Linked DNA regions of Xenopus tropicalis. The protein of the gene in region 2 interacts with the protein of the main gene of each other region in a biochemical or structural test. Links are inferred from orthologs where the notes say so. Each region holds a gene or a part of one and is shown on either strand. Other genes may lie near its edges.

What was found. The genes of interacting proteins can lie anywhere in the genome.
Region 1: the proteins of nufip2 (region 2) and fmr1 form a complex in vitro, tested with the Homo sapiens proteins (2 studies listed by BioGRID and IntAct, with this or other methods). The link is inferred for Xenopus tropicalis from reciprocal best matches to the Homo sapiens genes NUFIP2 and FMR1.

Annotation. Positions count from the first base shown.
Region 1 is NC_030684.2:56,987,726-56,995,462, reverse strand, and holds the start of fmr1 (synaptic functional regulator FMR1), read right to left. Parts: upstream 4,620-7,737; 5' UTR 4,412-4,619; coding exon 4,361-4,411; intron 1,477-4,360; coding exon 1,424-1,476; intron 664-1,423; coding exon 570-663; intron 1-569.
Region 2 is NC_030678.2:33,011,610-33,019,048, reverse strand, and holds the start of nufip2 (nuclear fragile X mental retardation-interacting protein 2), read right to left. Parts: upstream 4,515-7,439; 5' UTR 4,296-4,514; coding exon 4,082-4,295; intron 1-4,081. UniProt on the Homo sapiens protein: Binds RNA.

The DNA of each region.
Region 1 (7,737 bases), on a different chromosome or scaffold from region 2:
CACATCGCCACGTGTATGGCCAGCTTAAAGGTGACTTAGATGCCATACAATGGCTAAAACAACTTACAATCATACACTAAATTCAAACTATAATAGCAGAGGTTGGCCTTTGCTAGTATGATACTAGGAAATTACAGAAAATCAATATTTTTATTAGGAATGCTAAGAATCCAGGATTCAGTTCAGAATTTTGTAAGTTTGCTTTTTAATGAGCAATGTACTTTTGTAAGATACTGTGCAAGATATTTTGTAATACAACTTTACACTGTTTAGTTATAAATCTTTACTTCCAGGCCTGTTATGGAAAAGATATTTCATGCAGTGAATAAGACACTATATATATATTATATCTTATATATTTACTTTTTTCAAGCAAAATCTAGGCTGTTATATAGGGCATATTTCACTTGTGGTGAAACTAGTTACTAAGCAAAAAACATTTTACAAACTACCATGAAACCAGTGTCACCATTCACCATCCACTGATGTAGGTGTTGGCTCTTTTAATGAGAAATCGGAAATTAGATGCTAAATGTTTATTACCTCTACCTTAATATTGGTTTACTTACCTCTACCTCATCACTTTCATTTATATCCTTATTATACCCTGATGGAGGTGGAAATCTTACATCATGGAATGGGATTTGTCTCTCTTGCTGCCAGCTGTAAAAACATTAATTTATCATACAGCAGTATAAAGCAGTTCATAACAAATGCTACCTGCAAATACTTAACAACTGACCTATTTTGTATTTAGCTGATTACAGCAGTAATACAACACTGACATAAAGCTAACAGGTAAAAGGAATGTCACACAACTTTAAAAGCATATTTTTTTCTAGTTTAACTGTCCCTCCCCTCCAATTATGGAGCCATGGTAGGAAATAGGCAAAAGCTCAGTACAAACAGACTTTTTTGATGCCCATTACCTGCTCAGTGTCTGTCCAATTCCCTGCATATTAGCAGCTCAGCACAACATGCAGGGAACATTTTCATATCCTTACACATGCTCAAGTAGCATCATGGCAAGAAAATTCTCACATCAATATGGCAGCCAGGAAGAGGACTCCAGAAAAAGCTTTATAGTCAAGATCTATAAAATGTATAATGTATCAAACAAAGTATGCATAGTGGTTGCGGTTGGGGAAACTTTTCACTGAAGGTAAGAGTGAGGGGGCTTAGAAGAGGCTTGACTTTCCCTTTAAAAATCAGCTTTTTATACACTTATCTTTCAGGTGAAAAAAAAAATATATATTAATTTCCATTGTACACAAATAAAAATACAGTAGAGACTGCAGGTTTCTTTAATAGTGTATCACTTCCCAATTTGAGCCTAAAATAATAAGAGGTTGACTGATGCTGACCACAAGCTCTGATTTATCATGCAGTTCCACTCACTTCCACACTAGCTGCAGGTACTTACTTGTTTTCAAAAGTGACAGTTATAGAATCCTCATGTACATCCTTCACAAATGCCTATGAGAGACGAAAAGAAAGTCATACATTAACATATTAAGTATAGAGACTTTATATGCACAGTTACATTTGAAAATGACTTTACAACTTAACACAATTTGCAATTTGTTGATTAGGATTTTATTTTGTTCTGCAGTTTTCCATTATGGCATTTACACTACAATTTACTAATTGCAATTTTGATTACCTCTATCTGCAATATACCGAAATTTATTCAGAGGTGGACTCCCCTTTTAAACTGAATGTGTACTGAGATCCAAATCCTTTTTGTGACACTGACTTTTTGATTTTATTTTTAAAATGTGTGCACCTTGCCTTGATAGCAATGTTAACAACTCATACTACTCATAGGCTTTAAACTCTGTCTGTTTCTGACCTGCAGCAATAAAGATTTAGGTAATAAAATCCTATGCTGGTATCTGACATTACATCAATATGTCTGCATATTATCAGGTGAACAACAAGACCACAGGGGACCTTAGGCACTGCACTGAGACTAATACAGTCAACATAACATAGACCACTATAATTGTCTATATGTGTTTGACTTTGAATGGATTTCAATTTGGAGAGCTAATCATTGCCTCGCCATGCATATAAGCAATGTGAGTGGGTGCAAACAGCTACAATGATCGATCATATTGAACAGTGTTTGGTTCCTGTTAGATGAGAGCAATGCATCTGCAGACCAATATATAAGGCAGTAATATTTGTATGCAAAAGGTGAAGAATATGTCTGTGACAAAAAGGAAAATACAGTTGGTGTGCCACAAAATGTGAAATTCAGTGAGGAGGCTCAATCACAATGGTGTAGGTTTCGCCAGGTCTACAAATTGGTACCATGTAGAAATAAAAAAATCCACTGGAGAGCCAAATGCGTTCTGTGTTGTTTATTAGTTCAGAGATGCATAGCACTACATGTTTCGGACCGCTGGGGTCCTTCCTCTGGTGCAGTATGTCTGCCCTGACTGTCTGTCAAGTACAGGGTTTATATAAGGTGTAAAAGAAAGAACTGCAAAAGTAAACATAAAACCCACACGCTGCATGGGTAAACTATTAACCTAGATGAGTGATGCACAGCTACACAGAAACCACAAAAGCCTGCATAGAGCATAAAGGGCCTATCATAGGAAAATTATTTCCCCCATTTGAAGTGTTATTTGAGACTTATAGCGAGTGATATGCCACCTGCACTGGCAGGGAGCTCCCATTATGGACAGTCATGTTTGGGGACATGCATTCTCAAAAGCGAGTCTCCCGGCTCACTCAATATGCGTGTGTGATGTCACTTTCATTCACATAAATGAGTACCGACCAGAGTGCAGGGCCCTATTAGCCTACACCTCCACTGGGGGGTTATCAACTTGCCAGGGCTTCTACTCCTCAGGTGCTTCTATAACTACATACTAGTGGGTATTCATTTGAAGGGGTTCAATGAATAGGGGCTGTAATTTGTCTATTGCTTTAATTCTAAAATATGTATGATTTTTTTTATTTTTGCACTAAACAGATTATTTTGTGGCCAAGCTTGTCATGACATATAGCAAAGGAGATCCGCATCAAGCATAATACAGTTCTGCACTTGACAAGTCTATACTGCTACAGGGCCAGAATATATTAGTGCCATTAGTGCCATGCAGTGCTACACAGCTAGGGCCTTCCCCTGAAATTTGCAATGCACACAGCTAGAACCATCTTTGGCAAATGTAGGAATAACCCAGCTTCAGCAGCATTTCAAGTTCAGATGCCATCATAGGGAAAACTGTATTCAGTGCCACAGGTAACATTTTGGACTAAACCCAGCCGAACTTGGGAAGGGGCTTAGAACAGTAGGACACATTATCTGTGGCAATGAACACAGTTTGCGATATTATGCATCTGATTTTGGAGTGCTCCTGAATTTCGGCTATTGATGGCATTAAGTTGCTTTAGGTAGCATGTTGCCGTGTATGTAAACCTGCTGTGTGGCACACTTAATCTATTTCATCTTGTTGTACTTTATACCTGCCAGAAATGGCAGTTTTACAGAACAGGGTTACCACATACGTAGCTGGACAAGTTCCTTGCACATTGCACAAGGGCTTTTGCTGAAAAAAGGTGCAATGTTATACACCAATGCATCACCCTTTCAATCTTGTAATGTTCTACAGTTGGTAAAAAGGCCTTTAATAAAGGATATGTATTAAAAAGACTAAGCTTTTCTCCTGCAGTAGTTAAACAGGATAACCTTGTCACATAGGAGGCTTGTCCATACAGCCTGGTACTTGATGTTTAACCTACAGGAGAGGAGGATGACATTTTTCATTGGGGGTTCTACCACTAGAAGGGTTCCATTGAGAAATAAGGATGATATATGTATATATAAACTTTGACACCGTGGAGGCTAAGACTCCCTAAATCTTCATCATTCTGCACCTAGATGAACCTCCGCATGTTTCACAGAGGAAGCCATAGTGTGACAGGCTTGCACCAGAGATCTCCTTCCCCACCACAGAACAGATCTGTCCAACAGGCAGTGCTTAGCGGAGTTCGCCCCGGGGATCTCCCTGTCCTGTTATAGGCGGGGATCTCCCTCCCCACTATCAGAGCTGGAAAGAGTGCGGCCAAGTTTGCAGCGAGTGTCTCCCAAGGAGGATGCAAACCCGAGCAGGCAGACTTGTAAGGAAGGGTAGGCTGGGGCGGAAGCTGGTGCTGATGCTGTTAGACTGAGGGGACAGACCTATGAATGGATGGATGGAGGGGGGAGTTTGCAAGTCATTATCGTGATGCACAGGCCTACACACATCCCGCTCCGGCCTTGGCTTGGCTATGAGAGACCTTAGGATTCCAGGAGGATTATTACAGGTCAAAAAAGGCGGAGTTTCCGGAAAGCAGCCGGCCTCACCTTGTAGAAGGCTCCATTGGAGCCCCGCACCTCCACGGCCAGCTCCTCCATGTTGGGTCCGCGCGATGCCTTGGTTACGGGCGGCAGATAAGGCGGGTCTCCCACCCCCCGCCCAGGCCTCGTTTCTGTCAGTGTGCCAAAGCCAGCATTAGGCCCGCCGCCCGCCACCGCTGCTCCTGCTCTCGGGAAATGAAAGCGAAACGGGACCCCGTCCGGCAAGGAATCCCCAACACCGCCTCGAATGTAAACATTAAAACCGTGTCACGTGACAGCAGGCCGCGGCTTAGAGCCCGCCCATTCGCACAGGCACTGCTGCTGCAACCTAACCTGTCGGTGCAACCTAACCCGCCGGCTTCCTTCCCTCCTCACTCACTAACCCGCCGACGGACATTTAGACGAACCAATCAAACTGAAGGCAGTGTTATATATTTATTTATGGCTGTGCCAGATTGTGACGGCGGCACACGTAGGGCGGGATCTGGTACGGTTGTCATGGTGCTCAGAGAGCAGACAGAGGTGTGGCTGAAGAGCGCGTCTGGCGGCGGGAATGAAACGCGAGGGAGGGGGACCATGGGGGTCTCCCCGCTGTTTCTGCCCCTGTTAGTAATGTGATCGGGAAACCTGGCGAAACACTCGTTAGAGCACGTTTACTCTATTCAAAAGACAGAATGATGCAAAACAACAAGGGGCTGCAGAAAATAATAATTACAAAATAGTGGACACCACAAGAAAAAAACTGCCTTTATTAAATATATCCGCTTTTTCGTTAGAAAGATCCCTGAGTAATGTGATGAAATAGAAAATAAAGTATTTAAATAAGTAGAAAAACAAGTTGATGAGGGATTTGCCATTGCTGGTGCATGCTTCAGTCAAGGTTAAACAAAATAAATGCCTGATGGTGGGCCTGTTCCAGTTGTGCCCTTAGCAGCGGCCTTTTTGCCCATGCAAGTGCCTGGCAACAACTCAGTAGTTAAAATGCCAGGCTAAGGTTGGACTTCCTATCTCTCTCTATATTTCTAATGTCATTGTTAACTTTGGCGTGGTGCATTGTTGGAGAGAATAAAATACACATGCAGAATGGATTATCTAACAGCATTAAAACATGACATTGTCAAACTTTTGAATAAAGTTTAGTATAGCAGGGATATTATAGGCCTCATGGAAGGGACCAGAACATAAAGAGAAGAAAAGATATATACTAATTGGGCTTTACAACATCTGAGGGAATGTGGAGAAGACAAGCACAAGGGCTTTAATATAGAACAGTGGCTATTGTGGGAATATACAAATATGTGGTTGCTGAAAGAATGAAAATGTAAATCTATATGTTAAACATATATATATATATATATTAATTGGGCTTTACAGGGACATCTTTAGAGTTAGTGGCACTTAGAGGGTTAATTTACACCTTTTAAAATGATAATTTTTGAAATTATTGTTGCTTTATTTTTTCACTTTTTACCTCCCCATCCCTCCCCTACAATTCAGTAAAATAGAGATAGTAGGTTCTGTATAAACTCTCTGCTCCTTTTCCCAAACTGCAGTTTGGAATGTATTTATTAACACTGGAGGAAAATATCACTGGTGATGCTGCCCATAGCAGCTAATCAGCAATTAGATTTAAATGGTCACCTACAAATATGAAAACAAGCAAAGATCTGATTAGTAGCTATGGGCAACATCACTGGTCATGTTTGTCTCCGGTGTTAATAAATACGCCCCTTTATGTCTCAAGCTTACAGAGAAGTAGGAGTTCATTACATAGACAGTTTAAATAGGAATGGTTAGTTGAATAACTGCCTTCTGCTTCTCCCACAATTTCTCAGGAGAACCAGGAAATAAAAATACTTTTCTCTAATGAGTCTCTGATCTATTTCCTTTGTGTAACCCCTGCAGACAAGTCCAGCTGGGAGGGATTAAAGCATGGGGTACATTGGATTCTTTTTCTTTGGAAGGGCCTTTGCTATGTGGAAGACTATACCATATATACTCGAGTATAAGCCGATCCGAATATAAGCCGAAGTACCTAATTTTACCTAAGAAAACTGGAAAAACTTATTAACTCGAGTATAAGCCTAGGGTGGGAAATGCAGCAGCTACTGCTAAGTTTCAATAATCAAGATAAAAACCAGTAAATTACATAAATTGAGGCATCAGTGGGGTATATGTTTTAAATATTTATTTAAAAGAAAAACCGTAAACTAGCTTTGTAAGTAGAGAAGAGGGTCAACAAAAACAATATGAGTACTACCCCATGCTCATAGCGCATTGGCAAACTGGCAACAGACCCAGTCCCGGAGGACACGTAAGGGGCAATAAGTATTGTGACTGGGAGTGGGCCAGGGCACTGGAGGGTCTGGTTGCAGGTGGCCTAATTTGCACACAAAGGACAGAGGGTGCTAGTCTGGAGGGACCCATGGCACCCGACTCAAGCCGATGGTGACTTTTTCAGCACATTTTGGGTGCTGAAAAACTAGGCTTATACTCGAGTATATACAGTATATGGGTGGTGTTGTCGACTACACCTCCCACTGCCAGCTATAATAAAGGTAAAAGTAATAATAAGGACTCCAGAAGCTATTTGCAATGAAACTGAAGAACAGTTTGATTTGTCCAATACAATGATACAAGGCAAGGTTATCAATACTCACAAAACAGCTGTAATCAATAAATTCCAGGTTCAAATGATGGTAAAGGCAGAGCAGATGGGCAGAAGCTAACCAGCAGCTGACCTGTTAGGCTGATGCCACACGTGGCGTTTTTACGCTGCGTATTTTCTAATTCTCTCGGCAGCTGAAAAACGCATGATATCATCATCCATAGAAATAACTTGAAAAGACTTGAAGGAAACCACACAATGCGTAAATACGCTAGAAAACGCCTTACCACGGATTTTTCAAGCGTTTGCCGAAATATGCTGTTATTTGCACAGCAACCTATTCCTATGTATACACAAAGGCAGATGCCAGACCTAGCGGAAATACACTGCGTTTTTTACTATTTCGCACTATTAGCACCATCGGAAACGGGATTTGCTACATCACCAGTACTAGGCTGAAAAATGCCATAGTCAGGGCCACACACTAATATTTTGTTACGCCACCTTCTGCAAAGTTGACTGCATCGCTGAGATGAAAAGAGTAAAACTGAAGCGAATGGAGTCAAACTGTCATAAATTGAATACAATCAAATTAACTGAAATTTCACTCCAGTTTAGTAAATAAGGGGGCACATTCATTAAAGTACGGCAGGCCCCAATACGTTTTTGCGTATTTTCTACGATGTTTTCGTTAATTTGCGCAACTTTTTTGTACTTTGCGACAATTTGTGCTACAAAATCGTATTTGTTGTAACGAGTACGAAAGTTTCGGATT
Region 2 (7,439 bases):
TGATGTCAGTCGGGCAGGCCCATCGTTAGTGCCTTTACACAGGCAGATAAGCTGCCGAATCGATCTAAAGGACAGATATTGGCAGCTAAAATGTGCCTGTGTGCGGCCACTTTTAGTCTGATTCTAGGTGGACAAAGAAGGTGCAACTTTTCAACATAAATGTTATGTCACCCTAATGAACACATGAACAGCATTGTCAAACCATGGAAAATATGTTTACGAATGGTAACTCCTGCTACCTTCGTAGAAGCACGACCGTATACCTGGCATAGGGAAGGTCGTCATGTAGAAGGTTCTGGTCCTTTGCTAGAAATGCCCTCTCATCAATGGTAGCAGGGGTGGCAATCCCTACAGCCAGGGCACAGAAGAACTAATGACTTGTGTGCACATAGAGAAAATAGAAGGATGAGCAGAAAGAAGCCAGAAACAAGAAGGGGGTTGTATAGACTGTTTGTATAAGGGGAGGCTACTCGGACTGCTTTCTTGGTTGGATACCCAGCTTTTGACCTTATTGGGATTTAGCCCCTCCCCAGACAGTACTTTCATTGAGTACATGGACGTCCTGGGATCTGGAGAGTAATAAGCAGCACTTTTATCCTACATAAGGCATGCCCCCAGATCACCAGGCCTAAAGCTACCCATACACATAACATAATTTGTATTATAAATTTTCCATACATGATAGACTCATACCCAAAAAGACTGAGTGCTATAACAAAATGGTGCTTCAACAAAGTATTAGTTTAAGGGTGTGCACAATTATGCAACCACATTATTTTAGTTTTTTTGGTTTTCTTTCCTCCACCTAAAAGATTTCAGTTTGTTTTTCAATTGAGTGGTACAGTTTATAGGTCACATTAAAGATGGAAAAAGTTCTGAAATGATTTATCTTTGTCTAATTTTTGTACAGCACAGGAACCTGACATTTTACCAGGGGTGTGTAGACTTTTTACATCCACTGTATGCTGTCTTCCCAAATGAACAGAACAATAGAGAGGTGGACATACTTGGTATTAAGCCTCATACAGAATCCATCCATTTAGCCAACTGGCCACATAATGAACAGAACAGGCCTGAACTCATTTCTATTAACTGATGGTTCTAGGGCTCCCATTAAAAAAACTTGAAAGGTAAATATTTTATATAAATGTTTAATTTAAATTAATCCAACATGTAGGCTACATGAAAGTGAGCCTTGCCAAATGTCAGCAGTCCTACAGCTGTTGGGAACCACAAGCACTTAAAGGAGAAATTTAAAAGATAATAATGTTAATACAAATGTTAATGTGTTGTAGGCCACTTCTGCCTAAACTGTCCTTAAAAGGAGTGGCTGATAATAAACAAAATATTGGCATCAAATTGGTAACGACTTAAAAAAGAAGGCTATGGTGACCAAGGGTAGTTTGGAGGCTGAACAAGGGACCCTCAGGGTCACATCTGGCCAACTTGCTGCCAGCAACACAGTGTGGTTCTACAAAGTGAGAATGTAAGTAACCTTGCAATTAGGATAGTCCTGCTCTATCCTTCCTCTCTCTGTACCTGGTTGCTAGGGTTACTGGTCGCAAAACGACAGCTTCCAGTGCAACCCATACCTGTGGTGCAGAGAGATGTGAATTCTGCAAAAGGTAGAGTGCTTTTTCCTGCTCCACAACAAACTTAAGATTTATTTTTAGCAGTAAATCCCCTTTAAATTATTCATGCCGCAATCAGTGTTTGGTATTTAAACAACTTAGAGTTAATGTGATTAATGGTGCAACATTTGCCCAGGTCTAGTAACCCATAGCAACCATATGAATCTTTCAAATAGCTGACCAATAAATGTTACCTGTTGGGTGGTTGTTATGGATTAATAGACCACTGACTTTGTGCCTTTTATTAGATTACCTGCTCGGCTTGCACCTACATAGCACACATGGGTCACCACTTGCTCTGAAATCAACCAATCACTATACGGCTGCTGCACTGCTAGGATATTACAACTGATACCCTCTAAGGCTGTCCTTGCAGGTACTGATAAATTGTTTCAAAACAATATTGGTGCATGAATGTTGGCCAGACAATGGCAACTAAGATCTTTTTATAATGGATACAATTCAGCCTGTCAATCAGAATTGTATGAAACGTATCTCCTAACGTACAATGTTAGCCAAAACAGCACCTCTTTCTAATCGGTGGTGGTTGTTGTGTTTATGGCCACTCATACAGTATCTGCCTAGGGGCCAAATGGCATGTGTATGGACACCCTATCACAGAAGAAACAACAGGAGCCAGGAAAGGCCCTGATGGTGGGTCACAGTTGAGAGAACTCTCCTACTGTAAATCCCTGGTAGGAAATCAAACAGGTTAAATTTAAATATGTGGACCAAAATTTGGTCAGGGGCCCTATGCCAATAACAAGATTACAGATATAGAAACCTCTACCCAACTTGCCTACAGGTAAAAAATGTAGCTTGTACCACAGTTGATATGGAACAACTCCTAGAACCTCCAAAAACAAGTGCTTAGAGCTTGAGTTAGAAACCCTATTGGCCTTCAGATGTAAATGAACTACAACTCCCAAAATGACCCCTGCAGCCTTTACCTTCCAGGGGGAATCTGGCATGTAAAGTCCAACAATAACATCTAGTGGCCATGGGTTGGCCAGGGCTCAGGGCTCAGGCCCCAGTCTGAGGGAAACAGTAAGAAAGCTTAAGAAATGTGACTCTGAATATATTGCTGAACTAGAGTTAGAGAGGGCAGAAGGTTGGTTAGCCACCATTTTAGGAAAAATGCTATGGTTTTCAGTTGTATTACCCCCACTGGGCATCCCTGATATGTATAGTAAAATATGTACAAAGTGTTATATACTTCCCCTTGATGGGCCCCAGTGTAAATTGTCTCTCTCTGTACATTATATTCTATAAATTCGCCAATCACCCCTTATTAGAGGCGGTGGCTAGTAGCCCCCTAGGAACACCAGCCAACAGCGCTATAACGCCCGGTGTATTAGAGCCAATGCCACAGCCGGGAGCCTGTATCCTTTATTGTAAGTCTCTATATCAGACACACACACGTCAGCCGAGCCCTTCCAGCGCCTTCTAGAAGCCTCCTGTGCCGCTGCCTCAGGCGAGCTCCCGGCTCTAGGGCTGTACCAGGCCGCACCGAGCAGCTGACTGGCTGGAATGGGAGGGGAATGAACGTGGCGGAGTAGAGACAACGGGAAACATAAATGAAAGGCGGGGGAGGGAAGCGGTGGTGTAACGGGCCAACCCTGCCGGGAAGTCACATGTCCGCAGCGGCTGGGGGCACAACATGGAGCCGGCAGGCTTACTAGCAAGGTCAAGGCAGTGGGCCTCCAGCCTGGATTCCCCGGGCTCGGCCGGCCCCGAGTTTTGCCAATAAGGGGGAACTGGAAGCAGCCATGCCGGGAAGCATTACCCGTAGCACTCGGGCTTCCCACTGGCAGCGAATGCCGGGTACCCACAACCCCAGGGCACAGAAGCATTTATAATAGGAATAAGCGTAGGAATCGCTGCTACTGTTGCCCCATGCAGGGCGCCCTCTAGCTGCTGGGTAGCGGCCCCAGGGCCCTTAGCACATTGTGCTGCCCAGTCAGCTGATCAATGGGAACAGCCGGAGTTAGGAATCCGTGGGCCCTGGGCACTGCTGCCATGCAGCCCGCCACCCTCCAGCTGCTGCTGAACTACAACTCCCAAGGGACTGCAGGGGATACATTCCTAATATACAGAGTAACAACAGCCAACTGTTACACAAGCACCTTCTCCCCCAGGGGCCCTGAGATACCGGGAGCCCAGTCCCTGCCCGCTCCCCTGTGTCCCCTCCCGGGTCCCCCTTACACAACCAGACACGATGGCTCCATACCAACCCCCAGCTAAATCACTGTATTCCCGGCGGCCCCCCGGGCGACGCTGTGATTGTGCCATCAGCCGGCTAGGGTGCAAGCCCCACCTAACCATTCAGCTCTGCTGCCCCCCGGTATACTGGGCACCCCCCATACATCCGGCAAATGTGCCCTTTACTGCCCCTTACCAACACTACCCTTTGCCCCATGGCTGCCCCCACCCCCGGGTCAGATGCCGACCTGTTTTCTTCTGGTGCGTTTCCTGGTGCTGTAGGGCGTGTTTCTGCTCATGTTTCAGCGGCTTGGGCTGGCATTTGGCGCTGCTGCCTTCGGCTCCATGCTGCTGGCTGTTTGTGTAATAGTAGTAATGGCTGTGAGAAGACGGAGAGTGGAGGTGGTGAGGATGGTGATGGTGGTAGTGGTGCTGCTGCTGTTGGCCAGGCTGCTCCTCCATTGAAAGTGAGTGGGCTCCCCCTGCGCTGGATGCAGAGCACAGAGCCCCTCGGTGGATGTGAGTGTGCAGATGCGCTGCCTCCCGCACTAGGGCAAGCCGGTTGGCTTAGGGACTTTCTAGAAACGATTGACTGTCTCTATCCAGCAATCAGGCCTCTCCAAGTGCCTCTTGTCGCCTCCCACATGCCCCTCAATGCCACCTCCCCTTCCTCCTTCCTGGCCGACACCCCTCCTTCCCTCCCTGCCTGCCGCTGCTGCCGCACAACTTGTCTCCTGCAACCTCACGGCAGGGCTGGGCTTCCAACGTCAGCACTATGGCTCTGGCACTGTGGCCCTAGCGCTATGGCTCTGGCACTATGACTCTGGCACTGTGGCCCTAGCGCTATGGCTCTGGCACTATGACTCTGGCACTGTGGCCCTAGCGCTACGGCTCTGGCACTATGGCTCTGGCACTGTGGCCCTAGCGCTATGGTCCTGGCGCTATGGCTCTGGCACTGTGGCCCTAGCGCTACAGTCCTGGCACTGTGGCCCTAGCGCTATGGTCCTGGCACTGTGACCCTAGCGCTATGGCTCTGGCACTGTGGCCCTAGCGCTACGGTCCTCACACTGTGACCTTAGCGCTATGGCTCTGGCACTGTGGCCCTAGCGCTATGGCTCTGGCACTGTGGCCCTAGCGCTACAGTCCTGGCACTATGGCTCTGGCACTGTGGCCTTAGCGCTACGGTCCTGGCACTGTGACCCTAGCGCTATGGCTCTGGCACTGTGGCCCTAGCGCTACGGTCCTCACACTGTGACCTTAGCGCTATGGCTCTGGCACTGTGGCCCTAGCGCTACAGTCCTGGCACTGTGACCCTAGCGCTATGGTCCTGGCGCAATGGCTCTGGCACTGTGGCCCTAGCGCTACGGTCCTGGCACTGTGACCCTAGCGCTACGGTCCTGGCACTGTGACCCTAGCACTACGGTCCTGGCACTGTGACCCTAGCGCTACGGTCCTGGCACTGTGACCCTAGCGCTGCGGTCCTGGCACTGTGACCCTAACGCTACGGTCCTGGCACTGTGACCCTAGCGCTACGGTCCTGACGCTATGGCTCTGGCACTGTGGCCCTAGCGCTATGGTCCTGACGCTGTGGCCCTAGCGATGTGTCCTGGGCACTGTGGCCCTAGGGCTGTGGCTCTGGCAGTGTGGCCCTAGCGCTATGGCTCTGGCAGTGTGGCCCTAGCGCTATGGCTCTCCCTGCTCCCGGGCAGCGGCGGCACCTTCATACAGCGCCTCTACAGTGGGAGCTTGCAGTCTGGGGTGCTCAGCCTACCCTAACATGGACCAATTGCAATGGGATATTATTAAACATTAGCTGTACTGAACAACACCACAGGGGCTGGAGCAGCCAGGCTGTGTGCAACAAAGGAATGACTAGGCATACAGGGGGTACATAGCTGTATTAAAGTGTTTCATTAGTTTCCTCATTGTTCTGTATCCTATACCCAACATCTTGGAACCCCAAGTGATTCACTTTATTTTCTGTGTAGCAGCAGTGCTGTAAGGATAGAACTTGTGTATACACAGGCGGTTTCTATGCACATAGAAAAGTACATAGAGCACAACAAAAATGCATGTATTGCATGTATATGTTTCTTTTTTATGCGCCTAAGTGCATTTTTGTCAGTTTCAAACACAACCCTCTATTTTATTGTCTGGGCAAAAATGCAGCATGTGGCAGATTTGGACTGAGCCTGCGGGACACCAGGAAAAACCCAGTGGGCCCCGCCATCCTAGAATCAATCTCCACCAGAAAGCGTCAGCACTTTCACACTGACCCCTTTAAATAAGTTCAGGTGCAGGCACATGTAATCAATATCCACCAAAAAACGCAAGACCCAGGTAGGAGGATTTTACAGTATGCAAGAGTATGCCACATGTGGCATTGTCCTTAGAGCCTTAGTCACTTGCCTGCTCCCCTGAGCTGGTGTCCTTACCTAAACTGCTTGCTTGGCACTGCGCCACCATTTATTTTAGTCTCAGGTGCCCCTGCGCAAACTCTACAGGGGCGGGGGAATATATATACTACTGAAATCTTGGGACAATTCTGTACTACGATTGCCCAACATGGGAAGAATGGAAAAAGATGGCATTCACTTGGGCTAGGGTAAGTATTTACAGTAAAGGAAGAGTGAGCGCCAGTCAGAGGGTAGCAGATAATCCACTAAAATTACTGGGGGGGAAGTGGAGGTTTTACCAAACCTACTTCTTTAATAAGAGACCTTTGTTTTCTACTTTAATCTCTGGTTTCTATGTATGTGTGTTTAAGCTGCCATAATGCTTGCCTGTTCAGAGACAATGTCCATATTTATATAATCAGAATTGCATTTCCTTAACTGGCCACTAGGGTGCTCTTTATGTGCACACATTTGCCTGTATGCTTTATTCATTACATTGCAACATTATTAATTATCTGTTATTCTAAAATACATAAAATCTTAAGACTGTAATGTAATTAAAAATAACACAGTATGTTAAACCTTCCGAACTCACATATTTGGCAGTTCTTTACAGATATTGTTCCTCATATACTGTACTTGCCCCTGCCCCATTGAAGTGTACAATGCCCTACCACGCACACACACACACACTCACACTCACTCTCTCTCTCTCACTACAGTCACATTTATGGTGAGCCAATATAACCTGTCTGATTTTGTGACGGACGACTTCTGGCAGTCAGATAACTACTTATTTCTTCTGCACATCTAGTGGCAATGATAGTGATTTTGGTTAATGCCTTTACCACAGTACTGCTGGGACAATTCAAGCTAAACCTTGCCTTTAAGAGATATTTGTGCCGTCATATTTTCACAATGCAAATATCAGCATTTGCACCAGACAGACAAATGCCTCGAGCTACAATCTGAAGTTTAACATAACATACAGATAGAGCTGCTGTCAGTAGGTCAGACCAGACATCTGTTAAGGGCTGTGAAAGGGGTGGGTTGGGGGTAGCCCTGGAGTAGACCCTGGCTGATGCCATCCCTCTTGCCCGTTCTTACCTTTCTGAGCTTTTGGTGTCGCTACATCCCTAGAACAGAGAGAGCATTTATGTATTTAGCAAAAGACAGTATATTTAACACATAATTAATAAGGCAGTCAGTT